Linked DNA regions of Mus musculus. The protein of the gene in region 1 interacts with the protein of each later gene in a pairwise test. Links are inferred from orthologs where the notes say so. Each region holds a gene or a part of one and is shown in the gene's direction. Other genes may lie near its edges.

Region 1 (5,600 bases):
CTGAATGTTTTACTTCAGTGATGATTTGTAAGCCAAGACACCTTCGCTTAGATCTCATGGATCCCTGGATTTCACACCCAGATGGTACCTCCCAATCTGAGAGGTTCTCAACCTCTCATCTGGTTGTGACATAGAACCCTGCTGAGATTTGTGTGGGGGTGGGAGTGGGGGCAACACTAAAATTGGAACCCTTTGCCTGGTGTCTTCTCCATGACTGGATTATAACAGGAGTTCTCCTGCCTTGGTCACAGGGCCGAATCTTCCTATGTTCAGGTATTTACAGGAAAGCCGCTAAGTTTCTAAGGCAGTCTGACTCACAACTTAAGCTTGGCCTCTTAAGAGGTGTGCGTGGGCCTTGGGAGAAGGGATCATGGGATCTTGAGATAACCGTGTGTTGGAGACCTGTAACAGCAGGAACTGTAGGACATACTATTTTTAAACATTTGTAAACATCCCTATGGTGTATGAGCCACTGCGACAGATGCAGAAAACAAGTCCCCTCTCCTTTTGGTTGGAGTTCCAGGACTCAAGAGTTCCTGTGGTGAATACCAGGGCTCCCTGTTTCCTGTGCTCTGTTTGTAACCTGCCTCTTTCCTTCCTCTTTTTTGGTCTATTTCTTTTCAAGTTCTTTTCTATTTCCCTTGAAGCTTTGGATTCACGTCTGTCTACCCAAGCATTTTCTTGTACTTGTTTGTATGGTATCTGGGGGTGGACAGGTATGTGGCTTGATGAAGAAGCTCGAAAAGGTCGGAAACACACTGACAGACACTCAGCTTCTAGGGATACTTGTCCAGTGTTGTTTCTGCTTCTTTGCTTTTGTGTATTTCCCATTTCTTATCTCTAAGATGAGATTTTCAAAACAAAGAATCTAATGTTAATATTCTTGTCAGATATTTTCTGTTCTCTGAGCCACTCTGTAAACATCACCGAAGATTTTGTGTCTTTTTCTTTGTTACAAAATGCAGAATCTTTAAAAGTGTTATGAAAAAACTTAATGTCGACATTGAAAGTCCCTTAAAATTCTAACACGGTTACTAATGCTGAATAACTTAGTGTGTGACTCTCAAAAAGTGTCCCTCATTATAAAAATTCAAAATAGCTTTCACTCAGCAATGAACACTTTTCTGCAAAGATTGAAATCTGAACCACATTACGTGCGTGTGTATGTGTATGTGTGTGTGTGTGTGTTAGTCATCACTGTAGCAGTGTCTGAGAAGGTCAAATTCTATAGGGAAAGAAAGCTACTGACTTCAGAAGTCTTTGTCCATGCTCTTAGATGGCCCCAGTCTTTGGCCTGGTGGTGCGTCAAACTATCGTGTTAGAAGCATAGAGGCACAGATGAGGGAGGATTAGTCTCTGGCTCAAACACCTAAAACCTCCATGATGCCCCACCCCTTAAAGTTTCTACCACTTGCTCATAGCACCAAGGCAGGAGCACTTTTTTTTTTTTTTTTTAACACAACGGCCTTTGAAAGGCAGTGAAGTTCTAAATTATAATGTTGTGCTTGTAACAAATGGCATTTCCCCCTCTGTGTAAGTGTGTACACAGGCGAGGGAGCATGTGTGTGATTGCGTGTATGTATGTGGAGGCCAGATGTTGGTATCTCACACAATTCTTGCTTACTCTTCACATTACTCAGTGTGAATCCAGAGCTTGCCCCTTTAGTTACTCCAGCCAGCCAGCTTGACCCAGGGATCTCCAGTTTCTGCCTTCCCAGCATGGGGACTGCACATCCAGTGGGCACTCACATGGAGTTTGGGGATCAGAACTCAGTCTTCACACTTTGACAGAGAGCGCTTTTGTGACTGCTTCTTCTCCTGGGTCTGTAAATGGTATTTTAGAGGAAAAATAAATAGGTCATCAGACACATCTTAGAAACACAGAACATCTCTTCAATTCTCTAATAAAATACCGTAGGGTGAATGACTTTTATAGCCCTTTATAGGTAATTTGTAGTTGTTTAAACTCAAGGAGTATTGGAAATGGGGACTGAAAAATGAGACTGGACAGCATGGGCAAATTTCAGGTATGTAAGGAAAAAGACAATGCTAGGCTGTCTGGTTTTCATCCCAGTCTCCTGTTCTTCTAGGTCATCGTGGAGAAGGCTCCTAAAGCCAGGGTCCCTGATCTGGATAAGAGGAAGTACCTTGTGCCCTCCGACCTCACTGGTAACCATCTTTCTCTCTTCTGACCTTTCATTCCAGGCAAAGCATTCTTGATCTTTAAGTCTAAGTTGGTGACTATATGGGTTGTCACTGCATGTAGGTGGTGACCTTGCATGGTTTCCTTCAGTGAGCTGGCCAGTACAGATAGGCATACTCTGCCCTCCTGTTTCTAGTTCTGTTTGATATTTCCCAATGCCATACTCATGTACCCTAGTCATGGAGACACAGGAAAGCAGTACTCTGGGAGTAAAGAACAAAAGTTTGTCATTTATACCACTTTAAAAATCAGCCATGCTATCCTGAGGTGGATCGATTTATATCAGCTCCAGCCGTGTCTTGGGTATTGTCACCAAGGAGGATCACATTTCAGAGATTTATATCCAAATACTTTATCTTTAAATGTGCTTCTGTCTGGGAGATGAAAACTGCAAAACCTAGCCTACTTTCTGTTTTGAATTATATGTATTTAGAGTTTACCTTGTTCTTAAAGAAGTACCAGGTGCCTTCAGGATGCCCTGGAAAGATTCTTTTAGATGCAGTGTTCACGCATTTGCCTGTCAGCCTCCCAGAGCTTCATTGTTTGCAGGAAGAAGTTGCGTGGGCTCATTGTCCCAACATTTGCCCCCATGGTACTGGGAGGGCCAGAGTGCAGTGGATCTCTTCCTATTGTTAGCTCTTAGAGTGCAAATGGGACCCCAAAGGAATCAGGAGTCCATTTAGATGGGAATGCTTGGATCTACATTGTACTCCCCCACAATAGTCGTGCTGGATAGATTTGCTAATATTGAGTCTGAAGATGGATGAGGAAGAAGGGAGGGGACAGTCCCAGTGTGGTGGGTCAGACACTGTACATGCCTCCTTTTCTATTTTCCCACTAAGGCTCTCGGACAGCTTTTGGGTCTGAAAAGCTTGTACTTACACAATAGATTTTATTTTGTTTTCTGAGGTTTCTCCTACTAATCCTTTTTCATTTCTCACCCTGCTCTCTGTTTCCTTCCTGTAGTTGGCCAGTTCTACTTCTTAATCCGGAAGAGGATCCACCTGAGACCTGAGGACGCCTTATTCTTCTTTGTCAACAACACCATCCCTCCCACCAGTGCTACCATGGGCCAGCTGTATGAGGTAATGGTCTTGATCACAATACCCAGCAGCCTGGTGTCCCTTCGCTCTGGTTCCAGGGTTTGTTAAACACCTGGGAAGTAGGGCAGGAGGTGTTATTTATGGGGATCCTCTTACACACAGCACTGTGACGCTGGGAGATTAGATACCCTTTGTCCTTTAGGGACTGAGCACCTACTCGATTTAATCTTTTGAAATCTCTCTCTAGTCTTTCCTGACTGTAGTACTTTATTGCCGGTTCCAGTGGTTCTTGGTAGCAAAGCATCACCATGCTCACCCTTCTGTTACTGTCTCTGGAAGCACAGTTTGTTAGTGAACTGTGCACTCCATTTCCTGCCTGTCAGCCATCCACATCTAGCAATAGATGGAGAAAAGAGACACCAGCAACCCTTGGCTCCTTTTCCGTCTGAACCTGGAGCCCTGTCTTCCCAGTTAGCTCCCACATAAACGGCCAAGATTCGGCTTAGGACAGGCACATCTGGAAGCTCTCTTTCTAGAGCAAACCGGAGGCCACGTAAGAGTTTCCATTATCTGAGTACAGGGAATGAGTTAAAGTGTCAAGTTAGGATCTGATTTGGGAAAAACTGTAGTGAGGACTTCATATACAAATAATGTGACCTAAGATTGTGACTGTACTACTCCTTGTACGATGTCACACATGATACTGCCTTCCCATTGTGCTCCAATAGTCAGATGCACATCTAGTAACCCCTGGTCTAGCCCTTATTATTCCATAGCATATATTCCCGTGAGTATGTATGCCAGTAGATGCTTTGTGGTTTCTGTGCTCTCCTTGCTAGAGTGAGGAGTTTTTTTTTTTCCTTTTTTTAAATGTGTGTGTGTGTGTGTGTGTGTGTGTGTGTGCTTGCAAGTGTACATGGATGTGCGCACACAGGTGGACATCGAAGGACAGTTTCAGGGTGTTTCATCAAGAACACTGTGTGCCTCTCTTGAGACAAGGTTTCATTATTGGCTTAGAACACACAGATAGGCTGGCCTGACAGGCCGGTGAGCCCCAGGGATCCTCCTGACCTCCCCAGAGCTGGAGTTACAAGCACACAACATCACACATGCCATTTTTATCTGGGTTCTGGGAATTGAACTCGGGGCCTCTGTACGGCAAGGCAAGCCTTTACTCACTGACCCATGTCTCCCAGCCCCCGGCCTAAGAGTAATTTTTTTTTCAAGGTAAGAATTATTTTCGCAATGTTTTGTTTGTGAAAGCTCTGAAATCATGCCAAAAACTTGCAAGAATTTTACTGATGGTACTGGGTGGCTTACCAGGCAGGGCTCGACAGCTCACACGGTGTGCTGTATTATGTTTTGACATTTAATTCATTTATCCATTCCTGTTCATCTTTGGAGATCTTTTTTGTTTTGTTTTACTTTGGGTCTCTGAGATAGAGTCTTGACAAGAAGCTCAGGCTGGCTTGGGATTTGCCAGGTAGCCCAGGCTGACCTCAAGCTTTAATGTTCCTACCTCAGCCTCTCACATGCTAAGATTACAGGTGTACATCATTGCACCCAGCCTTTTTTTTCCCAGTGTCTTTTATTAGCATATATTCATTATATAAATGGGTCTTATTTTTTTTTGTTCTCATACTTGTACATAACATATTTCAGTCAGATTTACCCCCACATCTTACCCTGTCGCTTTCCCCTCTCAGTCTTGCTTTGTTAACCCAGTTATTTAAAGGAGAGCACTCAGCTTGTTTACGGAAGCATGGATGGACACTTTTCTACAATAGAAGATGACTCCTTGTCCCCCTCAACTATCAATCAAGTATAGATTCTCAGAAAGGGGTGAGGCCTGAGAAACCCGCTCCCTGTCATGATGGGATGTTGTTGATAGGCCCAATTTTGCGGAGGGCCGGTGCATTGCAAATCAACCAAAGCTGCCTATGAGTTCAGGATTACAACAGCCATCTCATGCCCAGAAGCCAGCATTCCACACCTCTCCGCGCCCTTCCTCAGAGTCTGACATTCATTCTTCTTCCTTGAGTGTTGGTGGGGGCAATTTAGATGACTCATGTGTGGCCAGGCACTAAGTAATCCTGACCAATTAGGTTCTGTAGCCACTGCAGACCACTGTGGCTAAAGTTGACTGGAGAATGGTTGTTTCTAGGAGTAAGGCTTACTCTGGTTATTTTTCTGCTGTTGGTGAGATACATTCTTTATTCCTTTTGTTGTTCTTTGTTTTCCTTTTTCCTGATGCTAAAAATGTAAACCCAGGGCTTCACACATTTGAGGCAAGGTTCTACCACTGGGCTGCACCCCAAGTCCTGTTCCATATTTTAAATGAGAATAATGCTGAC
Region 2 (6,343 bases), on another chromosome or scaffold:
TCAGACCCACCAGAAGAGGGCATCAGATCTCATTATGAGGTGATTGTGAGCCACCATGTGGTTGCTGGGACTTGAACTCAGGACCTTTGGAAGAGCAGTTAGTGATCTTACCCTCTGAGCCAATTCGCCAGCTTCCGGAAGAGTACTCTTTATTGGATTGCTCCTCATGTTTTGCTCAGTTTGTTTTCCTATGTACTCCAGAACTTCCTATCCAGAAATGACATAACCCTCAGTCTACTAGACCAGATCAATCATTAATCAAGAAAATGCCCCACAGTCTTGCCTACAGGCCATTTTTTTTCTCTCTCAACCATTATTTCCCAACTGAAGTTTCTCCTCTCTCTACTCCTCCCAGTCCTTTCCTGCCACCCCCTTCTCTTCCTGATCCAGTCTTCTTCTTTCCTTTCAGAAAATGGTAGGCCTTCCAGGGATATCAACCATGCATGGCATAGAAAGTAACTAAAAGACTAGACATATAACCTAATATCAAGGCTGGATGTGGTAGCCCAGTAGGAGAAAAAGGACTCCCAAAGCAGACAAAAGAGTCAAAGATAGCCATGGTCCCACTGTTAGGAGTCCCTTAAAAACATCAAGATATACAACCATAACATATGTGCAGAGGTCCGATCTAAGACCCATACAGGCTCCGAGATTATTGCTTCAGTCTCTGTGGGTCCCTATGAGCCCAGTTAGTTGATCCAGTAGGCTTTGTTCTTATGGTATTCTTGAACCCTCTGGCTCCTACTATCCTTCCTCCCCTTCCCATAGGTTCCCTAAACTCTGCCTAAAATTTGGATGAAGCCTCTCTGATGATGATTATGTTAGGCTCCTGTCTATAGCAGAATATCATTAGGAATAATTTCTTTCACTTTTTTTTTGTCAGTTATGTTTTGCTCTATCTTGTGTCTCTGGCCTATCCAGCCTCTAGTTCCTGGCCCTCCAGGCAGTGTCAAGTGTGGACTCCCTCTGTGGCATGGGTCTCAAGATGGACTAGTCATTTATTGGCTACTCCCACAATTTCTATGTGACCTTCACCATACCCCATCTTGTATGCAGGACAAACTGTATGTTTTTGGCTGAGTTGGTGTTCAGTCCTTCCATTGGAAGTCTTACCTGATTACAGAAGATGGCTGGTTTAGGCTTTGTATTCCTCATTACTCATAGTCCTCATTAGGGTCACCCTAGTAGATTTCAGGGAGTTTCCATTGCATTAAGTTTTTACATTGCCCCAAAATGTCTCACAATTCCAGTCATCTTTCCAGAACTTTCTCCCTCCATTCCTCCCTCCACCATACCTGATCCCATCTGTTCCCATCCAACCTTCACCCAGTACACCCTCAAAATCTATTCTATTTTCTCTTTCCAGGAAGATCCATGCATCCTTTCGTAAGTCCTTCTTATCATTTAGCCTCCTTGGATGTGTGGATTGTAGCATGATTATCCTTTATGGCTAATATCCAATAATAAATGCATACATACCATGTTGTTCCTTCTGGGTCCCTACAGGCCATTTATAAAGAAGCACTTTCTGAGTTGAGATCCTTTCTTCCAAGATATGACTATGTTTGTGTCATATTGACAAAAACCAACCACACTCTTTGCAATGAAAATTTGCAAGACTTGAAAATGGTCCTCAGAGCTGGGAGTTGAAAACACTGTTGCCAAAGGAGAATGTTCGTCTTGCTTTATATGCAGCAGAGTAAAAAAAATTGTACATCTGTAAACTGTGCAGGCAGATGGCCAAATCTCCTTCAGTTAGTAAGCAGCAGAAGTTCAAGGAGCCCCCCTCCTATCATCATCGCATGAATAGACTTGAGTCTGCCACTAAAATGCCCACCTGTGGACATGATGTACATTATGGGAAACAATGGGGATCTGGTTTATCTAAGTCCTTGAAACTCCTGGGAAAATTCGAGTGTCTCACCCTTGGGTGGTTCCAGTTCCACAGCACTTCTTTTTCTTTTGGAATATTTCTTAGGGACCCAGCTCTGGATCCCCAAGAGCATCTTTCTCTTAGGGCCTCTTTTACCCAACAGATTCTGACAGGGACACCTGGACTGTCAATATTTTACACATAGTTGAGACTGTTTCTCACAAAGGTTTGAATTATCTGCATTTGGTATAGGCAAGAACTTCATGGCTGAGATTAACATAAATAATTACTCTCCTGCTGCAACAGCAGAGCCTAGGAAAGGAGAATGTGTGCAGTAATAGCAGGCAATAATATTAGTACCTGTAAGTACAGTGTTCTTGCAACCTGCCATTCTAGACAGAGCAGAAAGGGTGACAAGATGCACAGTAGCTTTCCATTAATAGATCTTAACCCACTAATTCTATATGATCTGTTTGATTCTGACAAGATTATTTGGCCATTTTATTTGTATCCTTCAATAAATAAAATTCAGTGCTACCACTTGCTTCCTTGCTTAAAGACACTAGTCCTGGGAACTCTGAAGAAAAGAAATTCCAAACACACGGAATGATCCCATGCACTCTTGTCACTGTACAGGGCCCTTTCAGTTACTGGACCTTAGCTAAGCATCAGACCGCCCGCCAGGAAGCTGCAGAGAGAGAAGCGGCAAGCAGCTTGGGCAGTTGGAGTTAGTGAGCCTTGGCAGAGCGGCAGACTGGCCTGGGTCAGCTCTGAGGGGGCGTGGCTTGGAGAGGAGGGGATGGGCGGGGATAGGCTGAGATGGGGAGCAGGGCGGGGGCAACCAGCCCTGCAGCTCTCAGCTTGCCTGTCCCCGGCGCACCTTGCTGATCCCAAACAGGCAGAGCTTCTTCCAGTCTTGGAAGGCACAAATTGAGCATCAGGAACGTGGACCCATCAGGGCTGAACAGCTACTCAGGATCTAAAGTGGTGACTTGGAAAGCTGACGGTGACTTGGGAAGGGAGGTCGCCAATCAGCGATCTGGAGGTGAGCTTGGGGCTTTCGAGGCACAGTGGGGAAATTGCTGTGGCTAGTGCTTCTTGGGGTTGCATGCACAGACAGGCAGGGTAGAGGCAGCCACAGGAGTGGACAGCACAACGCCCGAGGGTGAAGCAACCTCAGGGCTCCAAAAAGGTGCAAATACTCTCAGTTTAATAGCTGCAGTGGAGGTAGGGGTAGGGGGTGGGAAGGGGATTTCAACCTGTCTGCTCCTTCCTTGGGATGGGCGGCCAGACTGAGTCCTGGGGTTGCGGGCTCCTGCGCCTCCAGCCCTGCCTGTACAGGCAAAGTTTGTCTCTCTGGGTTCAATCTGTTCTCTGCTCCTGCAGCCCCGCAAGTGCCACCTTCTCGCTTTCCAGCTGCAGCGCTCACCATGGAGTCCCCCATTCAGATCTTCCGAGGAGATCCAGGCCCTACCTGCTCTCCCAGTGCTTGCCTTCTCCCCAACAGCAGCTCTTGGTTCCCCAACTGGGCAGAATCCGACAGTAATGGCAGTGTGGGCTCAGAGGATCAGCAGCTGGAGTCCGCGCACATCTCTCCGGCCATCCCTGTTATCATCACCGCTGTCTACTCTGTGGTATTTGTGGTGGGCTTAGTGGGCAATTCTCTGGTCATGTTTGTCATCATCCGGTGAGTTCAGGGACAGGTCTCGGTGGTGGTGGTGGTGGTGGTGGTGGTGGTGTGTTGACAGTAGACAATTTGTGTGTGTGTGTGTGTGTGTGTGTATACCAGACAGCCAAGTGAGTGCAGGGTCTCTTCTATTCAGGGTTCCTGAGAGATTCTCCAAGGTGACATCTTAAAAGAATTTCCTGGGAGAGTGTTTTGTCAGGAATTGTGGGTTTCATACAGGGCTAATCCAAGGTACTTTTAGGATTTAAGAGCTACCTGCCCACATCAAAAGGGAGGCTACAAACCTCAGCTAAGAGAACACGCAAGAAAATGCCAGGGTTCTGATCACAAGGTCGTTTCCTGGTAAAGAAATTAGAATATCTGTGTAAGCCCTTGCTTGTTTGCCTGCTCTGGATTGAGTCACTTTATTGCCCTGTCTAATATTTCTTTAAATAAATTCTGGGCCCACCAAATGCATGGGAGATAATTCAGATTTGTGTGTGTGTGTGTGTGTGTGTGTGTGTGTGTGTGTGTGTGTGTGTGTGTGTGTGACTTGTTAGACTGATGGTGCAGCTTATGAAACGAAAACCAACTAGGCTATTTAGTGTTGTGAATATCCACTAGCATGACTTTGAAGTGCCCAGGATTAAGCTCAATGAGTATGCTAAGCAAGCACTCAAACTAGATGGTGTGGCTGTCTCAGAAGGCATGTGGTACCCCAACTGGACATTCTGCAATAACATTGCTCCTTCCATGTCAAATCTTTCATCCCCTCCTCAAAGTCCCCATAATCTCTGCACTAGATGTTCTGTCCTTGTCTTTCAAAGTCTCATAGGTATCAATTTAGCATCTTTTTATATATTACAAATCATTGCAGAAGAGCATAAAGAAGGCTGGGGCTGCTGCAACTTTATGCTGGGCTTTGAATGAAGCAATATGGTCTCACCTTTCTGCATCCTGTCTTGGAATAATATTAACATTTCCTTTTACTCAAGCATAGCAAAAGCAACCTCAGAAATTAAAAGCCTATCGTTCTCTCTCCATGTATTTTGTACATGTTTGAGAATGTCTTAAAAGAGAGTTAGTTTCATGGTAGCTGCTTATGCGGATTAACTAAGATTATTTTCTTTCAGTGGAGTATGTGATCCCAATGAAGTGTGAAGTCTGCACAGCCATTTTAGGACATAAACTAAAATCGATAGAAATATAAAGAGGTTGGTGGATAGGATATCAGTCAACTAGCTGGGTGGTGGTATAATAGGATTGTAATCCCAGCTAGTTCGCAGATGGAAGCAGAAGAAATGTGAGCCTGTTTAGACAACTTAGTGAACGCAAAATAAATTTCAAAATAAAAGCTAAAAGCACAGAGCTGGAGGAAATGCCTCAGTGTTTGAACACTTACTGAGCACACATGGGGCTCTAGCATCATAGAAAAGGAAAACAAAACTGTGCTCTTTATATTTGAACAGATCACAGACAAAGCCTTCACAGTTGTTTCTCTGCTCCCTTGATTTTACATACTTTCCTGGCATCTATCTCAGAGCTAGTTTGAGGAGTTTGTTTCTTACTGGGAGGAAGAATTTTTCTATGTTAGCTATTACACTGTATTCTGAGTGGCAATATCTTCCTGAGAACTGTGCAAGTGGCACCTCCTTCACCCCAGCTTGACTTCTGGATGCAGGCCTCAAGGGTTGCCCCTGGAGGCTCCAAACTCAGCTACAAATCTAAAATTCTGTGGCTGTAAGACTGCTGTCATTCTAAGATAGATTAGATTTCAGTGGGGCAGTTAGTACAGGCTTAGAACTGTATCAAGGCCTTTGAAGATAACAGTTACTTGTTCCTCACCTTCTATTTAAAGACTGTGCTGGCTTATGTTTTAGAGAAAGAAAACTTACATTAGAAAAATAGATGATGGTGGTCATTGTTTTTGAGACAGTCTAAGTAAATTTCCCAAGCTGTACTCAAACTCACAATCCTCTTACTTTAGCCTACCATGTAGTAGGATTACAGACCTGTGCTACCATATCTCATAAAAAAAAAAAAAAAAAAAAAAAAAGAAAGGAAAAAAAAAGGAATTTAGGAACCAGGTTAATGCTGCAAAAACACATGTGGGTAACTGTTTATTTGTTTGATTAACACTTATTATCCAAACTGGACAACTGAGTCAGAATTTACATGAAAGATTTAAATCTTTGCTATGTCCACTCTTCAGATTTCTATATGAAGTCAGAGAAATAATTTTAAATATTTGTATGCCTTTTGTTACCCTGATGGTAATGCCCTGCTGAATGTATTGGAATTTGTTCTTAGGGCTCATTGCCACATGGCAATATCAAGAGGAAGGGATGACATGTTCTAAGGTATTGATTACTCCAGTGAAATTGTTTCTTAGGCATTCCCGGTCTCCCTTGGGCACAGTTCTGCAGGGATAGCCTGCCCAGGGCCAGGAGTAATGTTTGTCTTGGGTTGTTGCTGAACATGGCTAACTGTGTGGCAACTGAAGGACAAAGCTTGTGCTCCTGTTCCATCCTCTTATGGGGCTGGCTCTCTGCATAGGCCAGGGCACTGGAAACATCCTGGCTCCAATGGCAATCAGGTAGTACAGACCACTGCAGACTGACAGAATGTGAAAGGCAGCTCAGAATCAAGAACCTCACTTCCTTTGCTTTACAGAAATGAAGAAACTACTGCCTTTTAGTAAGCAACTATGATTTCAATATCAAATAATCCAGAAGAATGTTTAGCAAATTAATTTGATTTATATGAACTGAAGGTATCTAGAGAATTTAATGAAACAAACTCAT
Region 3 (5,780 bases), about 77 Mb from region 1:
CTGCAGAGGCCGGAGAAGCACTCGGAGCCTCTGGAGCTTGGGGTTAGAATGGCCTCTGGAAGGAAGGAAGGAAGGAAGGAAGGAAGGAAGGAAGGAAGGAAGGAAGGAAGGAAGGAAGACACTCTTACCCTGGTGCCATCTTTAGTTTCTCCACCATTTCTTTTGAAAAAGTTTAAAATCACAACAGTTACTGAACTCCTGCCTCCAGCTCTTAAGTACTGAGATTATAGATAGGTACCCATCACCTTCCTGGGCTCTTGCTTTATGTAGCATGTTGGATCTGCTCTCTAACACTGTACATCCTCATCTTTTCCAGTGGCTGCATGATCTTGCATGCGTACATTTATTTTATTGCGTAGCTTTTATGGATGAATGTTAGGATGTTTTAGCATGTTGCTGTGAATTCTACTGGGGATGTCATTAATGCAACTCTAAAAATGTTAGGAGTCCATGGCATTTACAGTTCCTGATTAAGTCTGCAGTTGCTTTTTAATCTAAAAGATCGCAAATGTGAAAAGTGTATTTGATTATATTTATTTGATTTGCTAAGATGCTAAAAATATCTTTAAGCATCTTTTTAGCATTTAACCAAGACCAGTGAAAAACATAATTTTTAATTACTGAGGAAAATGATTACTAGTTGCTAAAATGTTTTAGTAGATTGTAATGCAGTGTGAATTTATGGTTATAAAAGAATTTAAATAGTGATGAGGGTACAAACTGAAAGTTAACATCCTTTTTTGCTATAAGATTGTAAGATTGTAATTTAAAGTTACATGAATTATACATGTATATTTACATTTTAACTCAAATGAGAGAGAGAGAGAGAGAGAGAGAGAGAGAGAGAGAGAGAGAGATTGTAGAACCTTTTTCCTTTTGAGACAGGTTCTCATTATGCAACCCTAGCTGTCCAGAAACTTGGTATGTAGGTCAGGCAGGGCTCAAACTCAAGAGACTGCCTTCTTTCTGCCTTTTGAATGCTGGGATTAAAGATGTCCGGCTCCATGACTAGCTACAAGATACTACTAGGAATACACTTAATAGCTCTATTTCACTCATGATTATAGCTACATAGTATTCTTTCTTGTCATTCAGCATATGTGTAGTCAGTACTTAATAGTTTACTGTCTTCAGCTCTTCTGAGCATGCTCCAGTTAATACTCTTGTATAGCTCAAGTTACAATAGTCATGTGCCTAAATAAATTCCTTCAAATGGAGTTGGTAGGCTAAAATTTTATCATAAGGTAAGTGCCACCTTTTGATAGTTATTTTCAAATTGCCTTTTCAAAAAATACTGTATTAGGTTTTACTCCTAATGATGTACTATATGCTACTGTTTATAGTGGCTTCATAGCTTTTCATTATATATAGCATAGTTTAATTCAAGACAATTTCATTTTAGACACTTTAAAATCTATTTAAATCTATTTCAGTGTGTTTAAAAAATTAATTGAATTCTGAAAGACAAATCTTTGCCTATGCCATTTATAATTTTTTGAATGATTTTTGAAGTTAAAATTGCTAGATCAAGAGCCAAGAGTAATTTAAGGTGTTGGTGAGTCTTGAAAGGCGGCTGAGAAGCCCCAATTAGGGTTCATGTAATTGTGCTTAATAACTGTTTCTCTACTTTTTAAAAAATTAATTTTGCCAGGCATGGTGGTTGCACATCCTTTTAATCTCAACACTTGGAAGGCAGAGGCAGACAAGATCTTTTGTGAGTTTAGGTCTACATGGTGAGTTCCAGGACAGCTGGGGCCATGTGGAGCAAACCAGTCTCAAAACAAAAAATAATAAGTAAAAATAAAATAAATCAATCTATATGTTTGAACATTTGGGATATATATACTTTTATTCAGTCAGAACTAATCCTTGGGTGTGCTGACTGACTTCCTGTCCTATAAAGTGGTAGAAGTAAACACTTTTGGGCTGTTATATGAGAAATCTGAAACAAAGCCTAAGGCATGAGTGGAAAAGCATTATTTAACTTAAAATTCTGAAACAAACTGTTACCTTTAAATTTTAATGTTTTAATCAAAATTGTATATTATCTGCCTTTCTTCAGGAAGATACATTATTTTTAAAGGAGCAACTTCGCAAAGCGGAGGAACAAGTCCAGGCAACACGGCAAGAACTTATCTTTCTGACTAAAGAGCTCAGTGATGCAGTGAATGTGCGAGATAAAACTATGGCAGATCTGCATACTGCACGCTTAGAAAATGAGAGAGTGAAGAAGCAGCTAGCCGACACACTGGCAGAGCTGCAGCTACATGCTGTAAAGAAAGATCAGGTAAAGCAAGTTAACTTGCATCTCTGTTGATCCCCCAAAACTAGAAGCCCCATAAAAGAGAGGAATAAACTATTCAGATAAGTCAGGTAAGAAAGGCTAACTTCTATTCACTCTGTTAAATCATTGTCATTTCTTGGATTGAATAGAAAACATTTATACGCACAATTCTTACTGTCAGTAAAGGCTGTTGCAGTACACACTTTTGATGTATATTATATGTGACAGAGATTGCTTCATGTGGAACTTCTGTTTACTAGCTATATAGAATGGCCATCTGATTATTTAAGGGTATTGCATACAAGTTACGTAATTGCTCCTTAGGTGGATGCTTTTCCTCAGCTGTTAAGTAATCCTTAGACTCTCTACTATATATAAAAATCAGTAGAAAGCCCAAACTCCAAAACAAATTTAAATTAATTAAAGGTCAGAAAAAAATAATGGAAATGGAGTTAGGATTTCTTATTAAATTATGAACTATCGGAATTTTTTCCTTAGTTGAAATATTTTTTTCCTAAGGAAAAGACTGATACCCTGGAACATGAACTGAGAAGAGAAGTTGAAGATCTGAAACTCCGTCTTCAGATGGCTGCAGATCATTACAGAGAAAAGTTTAAGGAGTGCCAGAGGCTCCAAAAGCAAATAAACAAACTTTCAGACCAGGCAGTAAGTGTCACCGAGTTCCTGTCGGTGAACTTTTCCTTTGTCAGCCTTGCGTTTGCAGATAAGATGGATAATATTTTAAGTATTAACCTTTTGAATACAAATTATCACTTCATTTTTTTCTAAACACAAATCTTATTTTGTACTACGTTGCTTATGTAGGTATATGTGGGTGTTGGGGGTGGTATGTGAAGGTCAGAGGACAGTTTGTAGGAGTTTATCATCTCCTGGTTACACTCTCTGGGTCTCAGGAATAGAGGATGGAACTCAGGATGTCGTCAAGTTTGATTGCAAGTGCTTTTACATGCTGAGCCATCCTGCTGGCCCGAGTTTATCATCTCGATTTCAAGTCATTGGCCTAATACTATAACGACAATCCTCTTTCTGTTTAAACTTGAGATTTGTATTTACTGAGAATGAATAAAGGGAAGGAAGCTAGGTCAGCAGCAAGAACAAGCAGGAACAGGTACTCTTGTCTTCAGGGCGTTGCTCTCATAAGCCCTTGATAAGTAGCTTTGTCGATTAAACTCAATATGTCGTAGTAAATGTCACTTGTGGCAAAGGTGACAGCTCTCACTCTTTTCTCAGTACTCTTCCGTTCTGCTCATGCCACATTAGGAAGAGGCAAAATGTGTTGGCTTACTCATTTATATTTCATGTAGGAGTAGGTAGATTCATAATAAAACAGACATTTCATTTGGATGGGCCTATGTATTATGTACAGTCCCAAATTGTACTTATTATATGAGGGGATCTTGGAAGTGAAGTATAAAGAAAACATTGAAAATGTGGGGTTGCGTGGTCCCACAGTTTTAGGTTCTCAGGAACAAATAGGAGCAAGGAGTGCATGCAGGATAGTAAAGTGGAAAGGGTTCTGTGAAGAAATATGATTCACATGGGGATTTTTATTTGTGGCTTTTTTTTTTAGCACATTTTAAAAAAATGTAAGATTTTGCCTGCATTACATGTGTGCACCACATGTAGGTTTGGTGCTTGTATAGGTCAGAAAAGAGCATTGAATTCCCTAGGATTAGAGTTACAGATGGCTATAAACCACCATGTGGGTGCTAGGAATCAAACCTAGGTCCTGTGCACAAGCAGCACATGCTCTTACCTGCTGAGACCTCTCCAGACCTGCTGAGTACACTTCTGACTTGTGAGATTGTAAGATGTTTATGATGATGAGTTCTGCTGACTTCACAAGAAAAACACAGTTAATCTTCTTTCCTTTCCACCACTTAGGAAAATGATGTAGCTTTATTCCTTTTAGGTTTTCAGAGGGAGTAGTGTGGTTCACTTTTTTTGGTTATATACATGATTAGTAAAGGAAATCAATATGACTCGTTCAGCGACTTTTCCAGTAACTTACTGTTAACCTTTGAATAGGCGAGTACTAACAGTGTCTTCACAAAGAAAATGGGGAGTCAGCAGAAAGTGAACGATGCTTCAATAAATACAGACCCGGCTGCCTCTACTTCTGCTTCTGCCGTGGATGTAAAGCCAGCAGCGTCATGTGCAGGTAAAAATCTCCTTCTGTGTAGTGTGACCTTCTTGAAAACTGGACACTGATTTGATACTGCGTGCTTCCATGTGTGATAATTTCAGGCTGCTTCCATAAATTCTTGGGAGAGAGACTTGAGAGGCAAAGTGGGAATATGAGGGTATTAGTGTGAGATGGAGTTATGTATGTGGTGACCATGCAGAGTGTGAGTGAGTGTAAACTAGTACTTAGCTTCAGGAGAATAGTCACGTATTAAACATTAAATTGGTACTAGAAGTACTAATTTGAACCATATGGAACAGTGAAATGTAAGAATTCCTGACATTCAAAATTATGTTAAAATGTGACTGTAAATACAGACCAGAGAAGGTTCTTGGAACACAATGACAAAGGACAAATATAGAAAGTGATGAAGTTGAAAAATCTAGGTTTTTGCAGCACATTAACAACATCTAAACTGGAGGCTTATCTTGCACTTTAATTTTTTGTAACATTTAAAATATACATACATACATACATACATACATACATACATACATATATGCATGCACACACAATATATATAATGTTGTAGGGGGCAAATATCCTCTTCTAAATCCTTTGTTTTGCAGTGGGGTACATCTTTCATTAGTGTACCTGGAGACTGATGTTAATGTTAGTTGGTTCAATGTTTGACTACTTAAAATTGATTTAAGTATATCAAATGGGTAATGTCGTAATTTGAATTAACTGGATTTTTAATTTATGCTCTTCTCCCCTTCTTTTATGTAAAACAAGCAACAATAGGGAAAATAAGTGCAAGCTAACTATATTTCCATTTTTAGTGTGTGGTGTGACTGACAATTTAGTTTTAAAAAATGAGATTCCCTATGCAATTAAATATTGAATGAAGAGGAGCCTGTAGCATAGTCTGCAGCGTTCCCTTTACTTGTCCTCAGTGCAGATTGACGATTCTGACCCTGAAACATCTGGGGAAAGAAGTGCTTTCAGGTTTCAAGGGTTTCTCTACAAAGTGAATGTGTGCACAAACAGTTCATTGTTCCTATTGAGAGTTAAGAACCTGAAGCACCTCGCATTTGCATCTTTCCTACTTCACCCTGGCATTCCCAAAGCTTCCAAGTTAACGGTGCACTGTTGGGAGAATTTGAGTTTCAGAGTTGAGGATAATGACATTCAACCTGTAGTGCCTGCTGTGATCCTATAGTGTTGGTTTTGTGGAGACTTAGTGAAGGGTCACAAAGGGCTGGAGGAATGGACTCTTCTTAGGAGTATGCACCAGTTGCATAAGGGTGGCCGCTGGCAGGCTGCTTTGGAAATACTTTTAGTGCCTTT
Region 4 (6,578 bases), on another chromosome or scaffold:
TACATGGCGCCTACTATCCCCCATTTAACACATCAAGAAACTAAGACTACTTCACATAAGCAACTTATCCAGGGTCATGCAATTTACCCATGGTCTGGGCCTATGAAATCTCTATTACCACCAGACTTCAAGTGAGAGGCTCTACAGAGAACACGTGAATTTCTGTTTTGTTTCTGATCTTGCTATGTAGCCCACATTAGCTTGAAATTCTCAATGCTGTTCCTCCTATGTGCTAGTTTTACAGGCATATGCCACTATATGTGCTGAACACATGAAGGTTACAGTGAATGAAATGAGAAATGTTTATACAAATAGTTGAGAGTATTTTATAACACACCCCACAGAATCAGTGCAACAAAATTATTATTTTTTAAGTTAAGTATCATGATTCTTAAAGACAGTTCCTATTTGTGCCTATTGCTGTTCTTCTTAGTCCTGAGTAAATATAAAGTGATGGTTGTATGTATGTGTGTATTGTGTGTATGTGTATGAGTGTGAATGCGAGTGTATGAGAGTGTATGTATAAGAGTGTTTATACAGCCTTTAAATGACACTTAGGGAGGTGTCTCTTTGGGAGGAGATGCTGTTGGTACCCAGGAAAGGAGCCACAAGTGTCCACAGCCTTCCCTGTCAGTGTCCCCAGTCAGCCGTTCAACTTTATGAAAATTTCAAATACACATAAAATAGAGGAGATATGACAGCGATCACATGCCCTATTCCTTAGCCTTAACAACCAAAATCTTGCCATATTTACTTCTAGATTTTATTACTTGAATTTTCTTTTCAAACGTTTTATTTCCCTTTGAACTGTGTGCATGTGGATGGGTATGTGCGTGTGACCACATGGGCGTGGGGAGGCCAGATGCAATGAATCCCCCTGCAGCTGGAGTTACAGGAAGTTGGGAAAAAAGGAAGGTATGTGTTCCTAACCACTGGGCCACCTCTGCAGTCCTGCCGAGGTTTCTTTAAAACAGAATCCTAAAGGCCATGACTGTTCACCTCTAATTATTTCAGCACCTAAAAAATAAAATCACTTTTGTAAAACAAACAAGCACAAGATCATTATTGGACCTTTTAAAGTGACATTCCTTAACTCTTTGTCATGGTGGTAATGCAAACCTTCCAGAACTTGGGAGGCTGGACAGGAGGATCTTCATTGGAAGGACAGCCTGGATTACATAGGGAGATCATATCTTAAATAACAACAAAAAATTTACATAAAGTAAAAAAAATTATCCCACTTAAAACCAATAGTCTCCTATAAGCCCATTTCCAGGTGGTTTACATCTGGATGCAAATAAAGTCTATAAATTAATTGCATTTGGTTGTTGTATTTAACTTCTTAATCCTGATTAGCAGTCTCTTTTATGTCACTGACTCCTTATTTTTAGTGGATTAAGTCTTAATACACGTTATTAAATTTAAACCACATCACCAGACCATCACAAAAGCAAACGCGGTGAACATAGGGGAATTCTACTGTTGAGTAATAAAGGAAAATTCCAGGACAAAAAAAAGCAGTCTCTCCGATTTCTCTTCTAAAAGAGACAACATGGAAGTTCTGAAGTATGATGTACTGTCTTACTAATGTTTAACACTTGCCTCTCAACACAGAAGGCAACCTATGATTTGGAAAGTCACAATAAAAACCTGAGACTTAGTTGATCTGAACAGAAATACTTCCCAATGTCCATTCTCTTTTGTTTGCCACAGTTCACTCGCCCCACATGGAACCCCATTCTTTCTTCACAGTGTAAATCACCTCCCCTTCTATACAAAGCCCTTCCCAACTATTCCTATCATGTCTTCTCCTTCTATGTTCTGAAATGATGTAAACTTCTTTCTGGGGGATTTAAAATATGTAATAAGACATGTACCGTTATTTCATTTATGCCTGTTTTTTTCCGACTTGACTGAAATTCCCAGCTCCTCTCAAACTTCCTGACATACACACAAAGGGCATTTGGTTACTCGTGGGCCACTGACTGGGATTACAACTAAAGAAAAATCCACCTAACAAGCTTTTTTCACAGATCTCCATCGCGCTGTCTCTTAACTCTGGAAATTTCTGAGAAAAGCGGTGGGTGTTCTAGAAATATATGAAATTCAGCAAGCTTAGCTTCCCCTCCCCACCCTGTCCCAAAGTCTCTGAGGGGTTACAGTTGGACCAGGAGTCGTGTTTTAACCCAAGGCTACTAGAGGGAGGAGTGGGCGGGAGGAGCGCAGAAGTGGCCTCACACCAAGTTAGGACCCGGAAGCCATGTAGGGCTTCGTTGACACCCGCTGCTAGGCGACAAGCCCTCGGGCTGGTTTACCTGATCAGTTCTAGTAGCCAGAGATTTATCAGCCAAAATGCGCTCCTTCAACTCATCCAGCTTCCCACTGTAGGCCAGGTTACAGATCATTATGTTAGACACACACCCCTCCATTTCGCCTTCCCAAGACCTCCGTGAAACTCAAGCCCCGCCCACTCGCATTTCCTGTTCCGGCGACCAATCAAAGTACTAGAAATTCTCCAATCACTGATCTTTGTTTTCCTTGTAGCCCCGCCCATAGCCTGGAGCTTCTGGGAGTTGCAGTTTGAAAGCAGATCCAGGCCTGGAGGCGTCTTTGGAAGTCACTCAGTTCCGGGTCCTAGCAAAGTGGAACTACAAGTCCCAGAATCCTTAGAGAAAGCCGTAGTCAAGTTGCCGGTGGAATTGGCCCAGGATGACAGCTGGAGAATGGAGTCAGGTAATGGGAGCGGCTTCTGGTAGTACTGTGTGAAAAAGCTAGGGTGGGTGGTCTTTGGTGGGCCAGTAAGTTGGCCACATGAAATGAAAACTGTAGCAGCGCAAGAGAGTTCTGGGATCCTACAGATCTTGTCCCTCGGGGCCCTCACTTGCAGTGGCAGGCGGAAGGGACAGAGTTGGAGCAGAGTACTACCTCTGAGCTTGAACCATTGACTGTAGCTACCCTCCCCCTCCCTACCACTGTTTAAGGAGTGGAAAGAAGCACAGGCTAGTTACTCTGGCATTTCTCCGGAGTGGCATCAGAGTAAGGCTCTGCTACAACACAGGTTATACATTACACCATACAGAGGTGATGTGCCAGAATGATGCTAAAGACAGGGTGTGATGCCATAGGAGCCACTAGATACCTAAGAGACCTCAGTGAGTAACAGCGGTCACCTTAGGGATATCAGGGTATATGATGTTGTCACTTTAATAACATGGTAATGGCAATTACCATCGAGACTTTGCTAGATTGCTAAGCTAACAATGTGGATTTTTTTTTAAAGGTGAATTTCCAAATAGTGCTGCAGCAGAAGAGATGCAAGGCTTATCTTTTATAGAAAATATCAAAAAAGACATTAGAAAAATGTTAAAGATATATTTTTTAAAGTGACTGATGAAGTTTGTCTCCTTTGTTATGGTATAGAACAGGGCTTAGCAAACTTTTTATATAACGCCAGATCATAGTTATTTTAAGCTTTGCAGGACAGATGATAAAACCAACTCGAGAACACAAGTTATGACAAATGTTAATTGATGAAATTCGGGATATAATAATAGTGGAGTATGTGTTTATATAATGCTTTTAGCTTTTTAAAATTTTGTGTGAGTGTGTTTTCTGCCTGCATGTGTGTCTGTACACCGTGTGAATGTTGGATCCTCTGAGATCTGAGTTAGACAGTGTGAGTTGCCATGTGTGTACTGAGAATTGAACTCAGGTCTTCTGGAAGAGCAACCAGTGCTCTTAAACCCTGAGCCATCTTTCCAGACCCCAGTGAAATTTATTTTTAACACAGAAATACTAAGAGAACGGAATTCTTTGAGGGAAGTACTGTTTGCTTAGCTGATGTTTAAAGTTGCTATTTTCTATCATTAAAATTTATTCCAAATGTTCTTTTTAATCTTTAGAAAACTCTTTGAAAATATGTTTTCATGCAGTAAGTTATGTCCAAATATTGATAATCCAGGAACATATTCTTTTAAATACTAATTATTTTATTGCATCTTATTGATTGTGTGTGACCTGATTCAGCTTCTAAGAGTGTTGGTTTCTCTCCTCTCCTCTCCTCTCCTTTCCTCTTCTCTCTTCTCCCTCCCTCCCTCCCTCCCTCCTTCCCTCCCTCCGTGTGTGTGTGTGTGTGTGTGTGTGTGTGTGTGTGTGTACACTTACATACATGATGCCTGGCATGAGTGTGGAAGTCAGAGAACACTATTGGGAGTTGATTCTCTCCTTCAAGCATGTTGGGCCTGGGGATTTACCACAGGACATTGGGCTTACTTATGGAACCATCTGGAAAGCCATAAATTCTGATTTTGATTTAAATCAATGTAATAATTTTTCCATAAAGGTTTTAGATTTATAGAAAAATTGCAAAGTCCAGTGCAGTGACTCACACCTTTAACCCTAGTTCTTGGGAAGCAGAGGCAGCAGATCTTTGAGTTTGAGGCCAGCCTGGTCTACACAGCAAGTTCTAGGAGAGCCAGGGGTACATCTAGCAAGCCCCTGTTTCAAAACAAATGTTCCAAAGATAGTACAGAATTCCCACATATTTTCTACCCAGTTTCACATTTTCTCCCTATGTTAACAATTTGATTGTGATAACTTACATACCATAAAATTCAACTGGGGCTAGGGATGCCCAGTAGTAGAGCATTTGCCTCACATGCACAAGGCCTTACGTTCAATCCTCAGCACCAAAACAAAACTAAGTTAAGCTAAACTAAACTTAACTAAATAAAATACACCTGTTTAGATATGTAATTGGTTATTAGTAAATTTTCAGGTTTATGTGACTATCACAACAAATCAGTTATAGAATGTTTTGACCTTCAAGTAAGACCTCATGCCCATTTACTGTTAATCTTTATCTCCTGCCCAGGCAGCCGCTAATATATTCCTTGTCTATATAAAATTGCCTATTCTGAACATTATACTTAATTGAAATAATGTAATATGTGGTCTTTTGAGTCTGGTTTCTTTCACTCACCCTAATAGTTTTGAGACTTAACCATAGTCTTGTGCATGTAAGTACTTACTTTTGTTGCCTAATAATATTACACTTTATGGTAATACATTTTTGGTTATCTGCTCACCAACTGATAGAAATTTAGTATTTTTTCTAGTTGTTGGCTATTATGACTAATGCTGCTTATAACATTGATGTAAACATCTTTATGTGAACATTTGTTTTCTTCTTTTGTTGTAGTTACCTGAAAGTGGAATTCCTGGGTAATAGGATAATTTATGTTTAATAGTTTAAGAAATTACAAAACTTTTTTCCAAAGCAGAAGAAGCAGTCTTGTGTATGAGGCTTCTCATTGCAACCCATCCTCCTGCACATTTGTTAGCGACTGTGCTTTTCTTGTTATTTTATTTTAGGATCTTTGTATAAGGTCTAGGATGGCTTTAAACTCACAAGCCTCCTGCTTCAGCCTCCCAAATGCTGGAATTTTTGGTGTATGTCTTGCCTTTGACAATTATAGCCATTTAAATTGGTATGAAATAATATAGTATAATTTCATCGTTTCTTTCCATAAGGAGTGGCTGGGTGTAGCAAACATGTTTTATGTGCTTGTAAGCTGTTGGTGTATCTTTTATACCCAAGGACCTGCTTCTGTGGTTTTTTGTTTTTTCATTTTAAAATTGGGTTGTTGTTTAGTTGATGAGTTGTAACAACTATTTCCATAGTCTAAATCCAAGTCCGTCAGGTATATAATGTACAAATACTCCCAGGCATAGTCTGTCTTCCGCCCTTTTGCTTTGTTTTATTTTCCTTTGTGTTATTCCAGTTGTTGAGACGTGTTCCCACTATGTATCCCAAGCTAGTCTCAGACTTGCAATTGTCCTGCTTCTGCCTCCCAAGTGGCTATTACAGGGTGGGCCACAGTGCTCAGCTTTTTTGTTGTCATGGTGGTATGTGTTTTGAAGGGGATGGTTTTGATTTTTTTTTTCCAAGACAAGGTATCATTCTGTAGTCCAGCCTGGTCTATAATTCACTGTGTAGCCCAGGCTTGGAATTCCCTTGCTTCAAGCTCCCACACATTACTATTCCTGGAGTCAGTCACTAGGCCTCACTCACATTGTGATATTTGATGAATTCAAATTTATTCTTTTTCCTCTTTTGTGTGTGTGTGTGTTGTACCTAGCTAAGACTGTAATATGTAAGATTTCAATGATTTTTTTTCCTCATGTTTTCCTCTGGAAATTTTGTTTTCTCTTTTGCATTCATTTCGAGTTAGCGAAGATCAATTCTTTTCACATGTGCCAGCAGCATTAGTTGAGTTGCCATTTTAATGCACTCTTCCATGGTGATCACAATGAATAAGTACACACTGGTCTATTTTAATTGACTGTTCGCCCACACTTTGTTCCAGGTTCATTAATTTACCTGTGGGCAGTGTCCCATCCAAGACAGTGTGAATCACATAGTATTCCTGTCTCTTTAGAAGCCTTTGGCTTGTGACAGTTTCTCAGATTTTATTTGTCTTGCTGATCTTGGTAGTTTTGAAATGCACTTGTTAGGGACGTTGTAGTTTTTAAAAGGTCTGTTTTTCTTATGATCAGACCAGTGTACAAGAGCATAG
Region 5 (6,379 bases), on another chromosome or scaffold:
TGCCATGACCAGACTTATCTCCGGAGGTCATAGACCAAGGCAACCTGCTTCCTTTCCCGGTAGAGGTGTGAGACCCCTCCAAAACCTTAGGCAGTGAGTGATCAAAGGCAGCTCTGGGAAGCTGGAGCATCTCCACTTGTGTCCCCCTAGGGGCCCCTTGACAGCCCAACTCTTCCTTGATCCAAGGGTCTCTGAGACACCTCCTCATCCCACCACCCCGGTATCTTGAAGTGTGGTCTCTGGGATCTTTTGAGGTATCCAGAAATATTGTGGAGTATTCTCCAAAAAGACTGCTCAGACATGGGTTTAAGCCAACAGAAAGGTGTTTGTTTTTTTTTTTTTGTTTTTTTTGTTTTTTTTAGACAGCCAACAACTACACTGGATGTTCAGGATGCCTATGCAGCCCTGAGCCTTTCTCAGGGTGAGCTTTTAAGCAGAAAAACCATGTTCTGTTAACAAGAACAGTTAGCCAGAAGCAGAGCTACAGAAGCTAAAAAGCAAGGTTAGTTCATTTAGAGACTTTCCCAGAACAAGGGACTTTGGTGGATTAGGCCTTTGTTTTAGTTTTGGCACGTGGTGCTGCCTACATGCTGAGTTTTACAGCCTGGATGGTACTTCCATCATGGGGTCAGTTGTACTAAGGTCTGAGGCCATTTGACAAGACCTAGACTACTCAACACATCTATTATTTTCTCTTCACTTAAACTCTGAGGTGATTGGTGTACACTTGGAGGCTAAGAAGCATTTCACGCTTGGATTGGCATTGGGAGGATTTAAATCAGAAACCCATACTTAGAGACAGATACTACAGATAATGCCCTTCCCATATCTAATGCAGATTAATGGTGTTTTTAAGGATGTTAAAAAGTGAATTTTCATTGCCAAAATGAGTAACTTCAAAATAGGTCAAATAGGCTGAAAGGCATAAGAATCTAGTGAGCCCAAAATCTTCACAAAGGCTCATATGCAAATAATCTGTAATCTTGTGGGGAGGGGCATTAGGAGATGGCTCAGTCAGTAAGGTGCTTGGAACCTCAGTCTGATCATTAGAATCCAAGTTCTTATGCCTGGAAGCCCAGCACTGGGGAAGCAAAGGCAGGTGGATTCTGGGGCTCCCTGGACAGAGAGCCTGGCTTAATCAGTGAACTGCAAGCCAGGGGCAGAGCTTACTTATCTCCAGCCCGTGTCCATGTGCCACCTGAGCAATATCACCTGTCACCCAACTCCAGGCGGGGTAACTGAATCTGTGTGTGCCTGTACAATACTGGTCCTTTTTCCTACAGAATCAAATGTCCGCTGGACAGAATGACTGACATACCCTATTGAGGGTAAGATGTGTAAGTTAACCCGTGGCCTCAAAAATATCTGGAATCTTAATGCAGAGATGTAAGAGATGGTTTATTTAGAAACCTGAGTGACACCAGGATAAATGAAGTGAGTAGATGGTAGAAGTATTGAGTGTGTCCCTTCCAATCATGTCTTACACATGCAGCAGGGAACTGTCTTCTAGTGTTAATTTTAGAGGAGTAGGTGACCATCGTGTTTGAGAAAACAGGCTACATGCTACCCAGGATCCCATCCACAGCTGGACTAGGATTAGTGATCAAAGAATGGATGAGAATGCGAGCAAGCACCCAGAGCGAACGATACAGCATAGATGTGAGTCAGGAATGCATCATCCTCCCAGTGGATTTCTTGCCCTGGTTGAAGTGGCTCAATTCTACTCCTCCAGGAAAAGAAAGGCACAAAATAAATTGATCAAGACAATCCTGGTCTCATTCTGACTTGCCTTACAGGACGTGGTAGCTGATGTTACTTTATCTACATTCTTTACCAGGAAGGCAGAGGCTGGCTGCGACCTCCCACACGCAAATGGGTTGATCATTTAGTCTTCGGTTATTGTAACGAAGGTGAACTTTCGAAGAGAACAAGAAGTCAGCGGATATTGGAGCTGGTAATTCTATCACAGGTGTAGTCTTCTCTTCCTCCGTTCCTTTCCCACACACCCCCCCCCCATCCTTATTTCCCCTCTCCTCCCTTCCCCTTTTCTCCTCTTCACTTTCTTCCCTCCTGTCCGGTCCTCTCCGGTCTTGCGTGACATTCCTTCTAATTGTACTATTTCGCTGAATTATGATTCCAGGTTTTCCATCTGAAACCTTAAGCCTTAATTAAGTCTCAAGCGTTAATCGCCATGATTTCTGACTTCACTAAATACATACATACATACATACATACATACATACATACATACATACATACATACATACATACATATCTTCTCTGACAGCAGGCCAATCCTGGTGGCCAGGATGCTGAGGGGGCAGTCACAACCGGAAAAGTTCTGGCTCAGCCCCAAACTCCTCTCCTCCTCCTCCCCGCCCCCTTACTTGTCTGAAGCCAGAGGTGGCCATTTTGGATTCGGGCGGAAATGAACTCAAAAGCGGCTGGTTAAAAACCCAAACATGAAAACCGGGATGCCCCTGCAGTCGGGCTGAAGACACACGCAGAGAGGCTTCCCTGCCGCCAGAGCCGGCTGCCGGGAACAGGCGTGCGGCGCAGGCTCCCCTGGCGCCCACACCTACCCGGGCCCGCGCCCTCGCAGCACCTGTGCGGCCGCTCTAGCTCGGTTCCGGGTTCGCGCCTCGGTGGTGGCGTCGGAGGAACTGAAGGCCCGGCTGTTGAGCCGCTTCCGGGCCCTCGGAGAGCCGCCGGAGCCGGGTCCTCGGGGGTGTCTGTGGGTGGAGGAGCCGGGGTCTGAGCGTCGGAGCCAGCCGCGGGCCAAGAGGGAGCGGAGCCGCCAGCCTCCTCCCGCCGCCCGCAGGTAACCGGGAGCCGTGCGGCCTGGACGGCGGGGCGGGAAGCGAGCCGGGGCGGCCGGTTGAGCGCTGCCCCGGGGAGTTCGGGGTGCCCCTGTGCCTGGCGTCTCGGGTGAGCCCCGCCGGCCGAGGCCGGTGGAGGGCCGAGAGACCGGGCCTGGAGTCCAGCGGGAAGGCCGCGCGGTGCAGGGTCCCCGACGAGCGTCCACACTCAGCCCCCGGGCTTCACGTGTAGAAAAGACAACAACATCTCCCAAGGTCGCTTTTGCTGAGTTCTGGGATCGCTGCTGCTGCTGGGTTGGGGGACATGTGTGTGCTCTGAGCTGATGTCACACCTCGGAGTACTTTTAGTCCACAGAGACTACATGTTTTGCTTGTCAGCTAGCACAATGCGGTTGAGTTCCTGACAGGGAACATACGTGGCCGAGACAGGGCCGCTGGTAAGATTTGTCACCCAGTATCTAAGTGCCAACGAGTACATATCCTTAGGACTCTCGGGCAAGTCATAACCTTTGGCTCTTTGAAGCGAAGGGAACTAGAACCGAAGAGAGTCTCTACTGTCGGGAGAACTAAGGGACATACTTCCCCCAGAGCACACGTGGTATGTGGTTGAATACCTAGGCAAGGTGCTGCTCCCAAACCAAATGGAACCCTTCAGAAGCTTCGCCTGAAGCCAAAGAAATGAGAAGGATGGAAGACATAGATAGATTAAAGTGTACAGTCACATCCTAGACTGTCAACTCGACGTTTCATTATAGAAAGTATAAGTGGTATAGTCAGTAAAAATGCCATATTAGAATATCCTTTTCTACCTTCGTGTGACTTTCAAAGCTACCTGGCACTATTTCATAGTCCCCTTCTTACTTCCCAAACCAAGAAAAAATCCGTGGAGTTGGGAGTGTTCCTTATGTCTTGCATTTCCATAAGCTCCTTTCAGCTCCGTCCTGAGGGTTGTAAAACACTGCTGGTGCCAGCGGTCCTGCCTCTTAGATACAGGCGTGGGGAGAACCAGAGTGACCGCCTTGTGTGTTCTCAAATCCAGTCCTCGGCGCCCTTTCCCTGCTGTGTTGGGCGCGGGGCTCTGTACAGGGCATCCTATTCGCTTCGGTAGAAACTGAGCCTTGCCTTTTTAAAGGTGCTCTTCCTTAGGGTCATAGGCGACTTATCACTGTGAAAAATGACTGGTTTTGGTAGCTTCCTAGTATTTTTGCAAATCTAAAGGTATTATGTTCGTATTTATAACATTGAGTTAGGGTTAATAGATAATCTAAGGGCCAATATTCCAACAAGGATTTGGCCTGCTATTGGAAATCAGTAAGCTAAATGCCCATTGCCCCTGCCTTTTGCCAGCGTGGCTCATGAATCTCAGTGACCGCAGTATCCCTTCAGGACTAACGAAATTAAACTGGTTTTTCTGCCAAGAAGATACTCACCTGCTGTGGTTTTCCTTTATTGTTTAATTTTGAAAACTTTTATTTTGTAGTGAACCAAAAATGCAGGCTAGGTCCACATACTTTTCAAATGAACCCTTCCCTAACTCATACCTCTCTTCTCACTGGTGTTTGAAGCAGGGGTCAGAGTAGAAGTGTCCGTTGGTCTCAGGGAGTGTAGGCCCACTCAAGCCACACCAGGGAAGCCGCAAGCACCTAGAGGCTTAGTCAGTGAGGCAGTGGAAAAACTGGATTGGAAGCCAGCTGCTCGTCCTGCAGGCACTAGGCAGGGCCAAGATGGAGGATGCCTGTGTGTCTCTATAAAGCAGCCATTCCCCCAGCTTGTGCCTACCATTATCTCACTGACCACTCACTTCCTTGGTGCCTACCACGTGTTTGCTTCCATGGGGCCCCAGCTCCACCTCCTGGTGACCCCAGCTTCAGATGTGCTACTAGTGATAAAGAAAAACATCAGATCCATAGAGGAGACAGTGGTCCGCCCCTTCATTCTGGTTGTGGATACTAAAGATCCGGCTGTGACTCGACTGCTCTTTGGCCAGGAGGCAGGAAGAAGGCCCTCGCCGCCCAGGGACCACTGCATCCATGATCAGAGCTTCTTTCTCTGGCTGCATGCATTGCTTTTCTCTTGTCCCAGTAAAATATGGCTGGTCCTTGTCATTCCTTTTTTTATATGATTTTTTTTTTTGGAATTAAACTTAATCATATCATTTTCCCCCCTTTCTCTGTCATCCCTCCAGCCCTTCCCGTGCATCCTCCTTGCCATTGTTCTCTCAAATTCATCGTCTTTTTCTTGTTGCATGTGTGTGTGCTCCTAAATACAGAAGTACATCTTGCTCTGTGTGTGTGTGTGCAAGCAAGCAAGCAAGTGTGATCTTAATGTTGAGCACATGGTATTGACTAACCAGCTGGGAGCCCTTCCCTCTGGAGGAAAACATCTCTGATTCTCAGCATTCCCTGGGTCCCTGTAGTTCTTTGGCTATGAGTGAGGTTGTGTGAGATTTCACTCTTTCAAGTTAGCTTGTCCATTGGTGTCCTTGTTGTTTGGGTCTTACTTAGGCGACCGTGTTAACAAGATGGTCTGAATCTCTGACTTTATTAGCACAAGAAAAGTCTCTTACTTTTCCTAGGAAATAGAGTCTCACAACAAACGTCCTGTCCCTCTGGCTTTTGCAAGCTGATCCCAGAGTCTCAAGTGCAGAAATCGCGCTCCAGGTCTGTGTGTTGGGACTGAACGCCGCAGTCTCCTGTTCTCTGCATTTTGGCCTGTCACAGTGGGTCTTGAGAGACAAACTGAGCTCAGTGCATTTGATAATCTTCCGAGATTTTGAAAAAGCCAGTATTCTATAGCTTCTCGCCCTCACATCTTCTCATTCTCTCGATAGTAACGTGTATGCATCTATACACACTTTAAACTCAGTGATAGGCATGGATTTTAGCAGCATTACATAGATTATATCTGTGGCTTTTCTTCCAAGTACAAGGAAAATTAAAGTTGAGAGATTTGTGTCATAATTATGGCGTTTGTATTTATCTAAAGGCTACTTACCTTTAACTGAAGAAGTTTATAAACTTTATAGATATTTGTGTACGATTGGGTTTGGGGGAGGAACTGCACGTGACTGTTTGGTAAAATACAGTTTCTCTGAAGTTGTTAGCTGTTAAGTAACACGCATTCCTGATAACTTGCTGCTCGTTGCCCATTTGTACTCTCAGATGCAGTTGTGGGCACTGCAGGAGTGAGTGGGTACCTGTTAGTGGTCACATTGAGGAAACCTGGATTAGCCAGCCTGGCTAATATTGCAGATCGAGATTTAATGTCTCAGTTCCTTTTCTTCTTTGTTTGTAGAGCTGTTTGGATTTGAGGAGGAGCTGCAGAACTGCCTCACGGCAACAGGGATGGGATCAGAGAACAGCGCTTTAAAGAGCTACACACTGAGGGAGTCTCCTTTTACCTTACCATCTGGACTTGCTGTTTATCCCGCCATATTGCAAGATGGGAAATGTGCTTCCGTGTTTGTATATAAGCGAGAAAATGAAGACAAGGTTAACAAGGCTGCCAAGGTACTGTGCTGCAGTTGTCTTAATAGCATCTTTATTACAGCCACATGCAGA

What was found.
Region 2: the proteins of Gabarapl1 (region 1) and Oprk1 interact in binary tests that used the Homo sapiens proteins (3 or more experiments, as listed by UniProt). The link is inferred for Mus musculus from reciprocal best matches to the Homo sapiens genes GABARAPL1 and OPRK1.
Region 3: the proteins of Gabarapl1 (region 1) and Tax1bp1 interact in binary tests that used the Homo sapiens proteins (3 or more experiments, as listed by UniProt). The link is inferred for Mus musculus from reciprocal best matches to the Homo sapiens genes GABARAPL1 and TAX1BP1.
Region 4: the proteins of Gabarapl1 (region 1) and Atg4a interact in binary tests that used the Homo sapiens proteins (3 or more experiments, as listed by UniProt). The two-hybrid records come from large-scale screens. The link is inferred for Mus musculus from reciprocal best matches to the Homo sapiens genes GABARAPL1 and ATG4A.
Region 5: the proteins of Gabarapl1 (region 1) and Scyl3 interact in binary tests that used the Homo sapiens proteins (3 or more experiments, as listed by UniProt). The two-hybrid records come from large-scale screens. The link is inferred for Mus musculus from reciprocal best matches to the Homo sapiens genes GABARAPL1 and SCYL3.

The regions. Positions count from the first base shown.
Region 1 is NC_000072.6:129,535,401-129,541,000, forward strand, and holds part of Gabarapl1 (gamma-aminobutyric acid receptor-associated protein-like 1), read left to right. Parts: intron 1-2,090; coding exon 2,091-2,169; intron 2,170-3,169; coding exon 3,170-3,288; intron 3,289-5,600. UniProt on the Homo sapiens protein: Ubiquitin-like modifier that increases cell-surface expression of kappa-type opioid receptor through facilitating anterograde intracellular trafficking of the receptor. Involved in formation of autophagosomal vacuoles.
Region 2 is NC_000067.6:5,585,746-5,592,088, forward strand, and holds the start of Oprk1 (kappa-type opioid receptor), read left to right. Parts: upstream 1-2,747; 5' UTR 2,748-2,918; intron 2,919-3,259; exon of another isoform or gene 3,260-3,289; 5' UTR 3,290-3,303; coding exon 3,304-3,560; intron 3,561-6,343. UniProt on the Homo sapiens protein: G-protein coupled opioid receptor that functions as a receptor for endogenous alpha-neoendorphins and dynorphins, but has low affinity for beta-endorphins.
Region 3 is NC_000072.6:52,739,889-52,745,668, forward strand, and holds part of Tax1bp1 (tax1-binding protein 1 homolog), read left to right. Parts: intron 1-2,062; coding exon 2,063-2,287; intron 2,288-2,803; coding exon 2,804-2,950; intron 2,951-4,333; coding exon 4,334-4,466; intron 4,467-5,780.
Region 4 is NC_000086.7:140,954,239-140,960,816, forward strand, and holds the start of Atg4a (cysteine protease ATG4A), read left to right. Parts: upstream 1-2,723; coding exon 2,724-2,733; intron 2,734-6,578. Other genes in the region: Psmd10 (26S proteasome non-ATPase regulatory subunit 10), read right to left, coding at 2,316-2,429. UniProt on the Homo sapiens protein: Cysteine protease that plays a key role in autophagy by mediating both proteolytic activation and delipidation of ATG8 family proteins.
Region 5 is NC_000067.6:163,927,366-163,933,744, forward strand, and holds the start of Scyl3 (protein-associating with the carboxyl-terminal domain of ezrin), read left to right. Parts: upstream 1-2,399; 5' UTR 2,400-2,821; intron 2,822-6,113; 5' UTR 6,114-6,163; coding exon 6,164-6,328; intron 6,329-6,379. UniProt on the Homo sapiens protein: May play a role in regulating cell adhesion/migration complexes in migrating cells.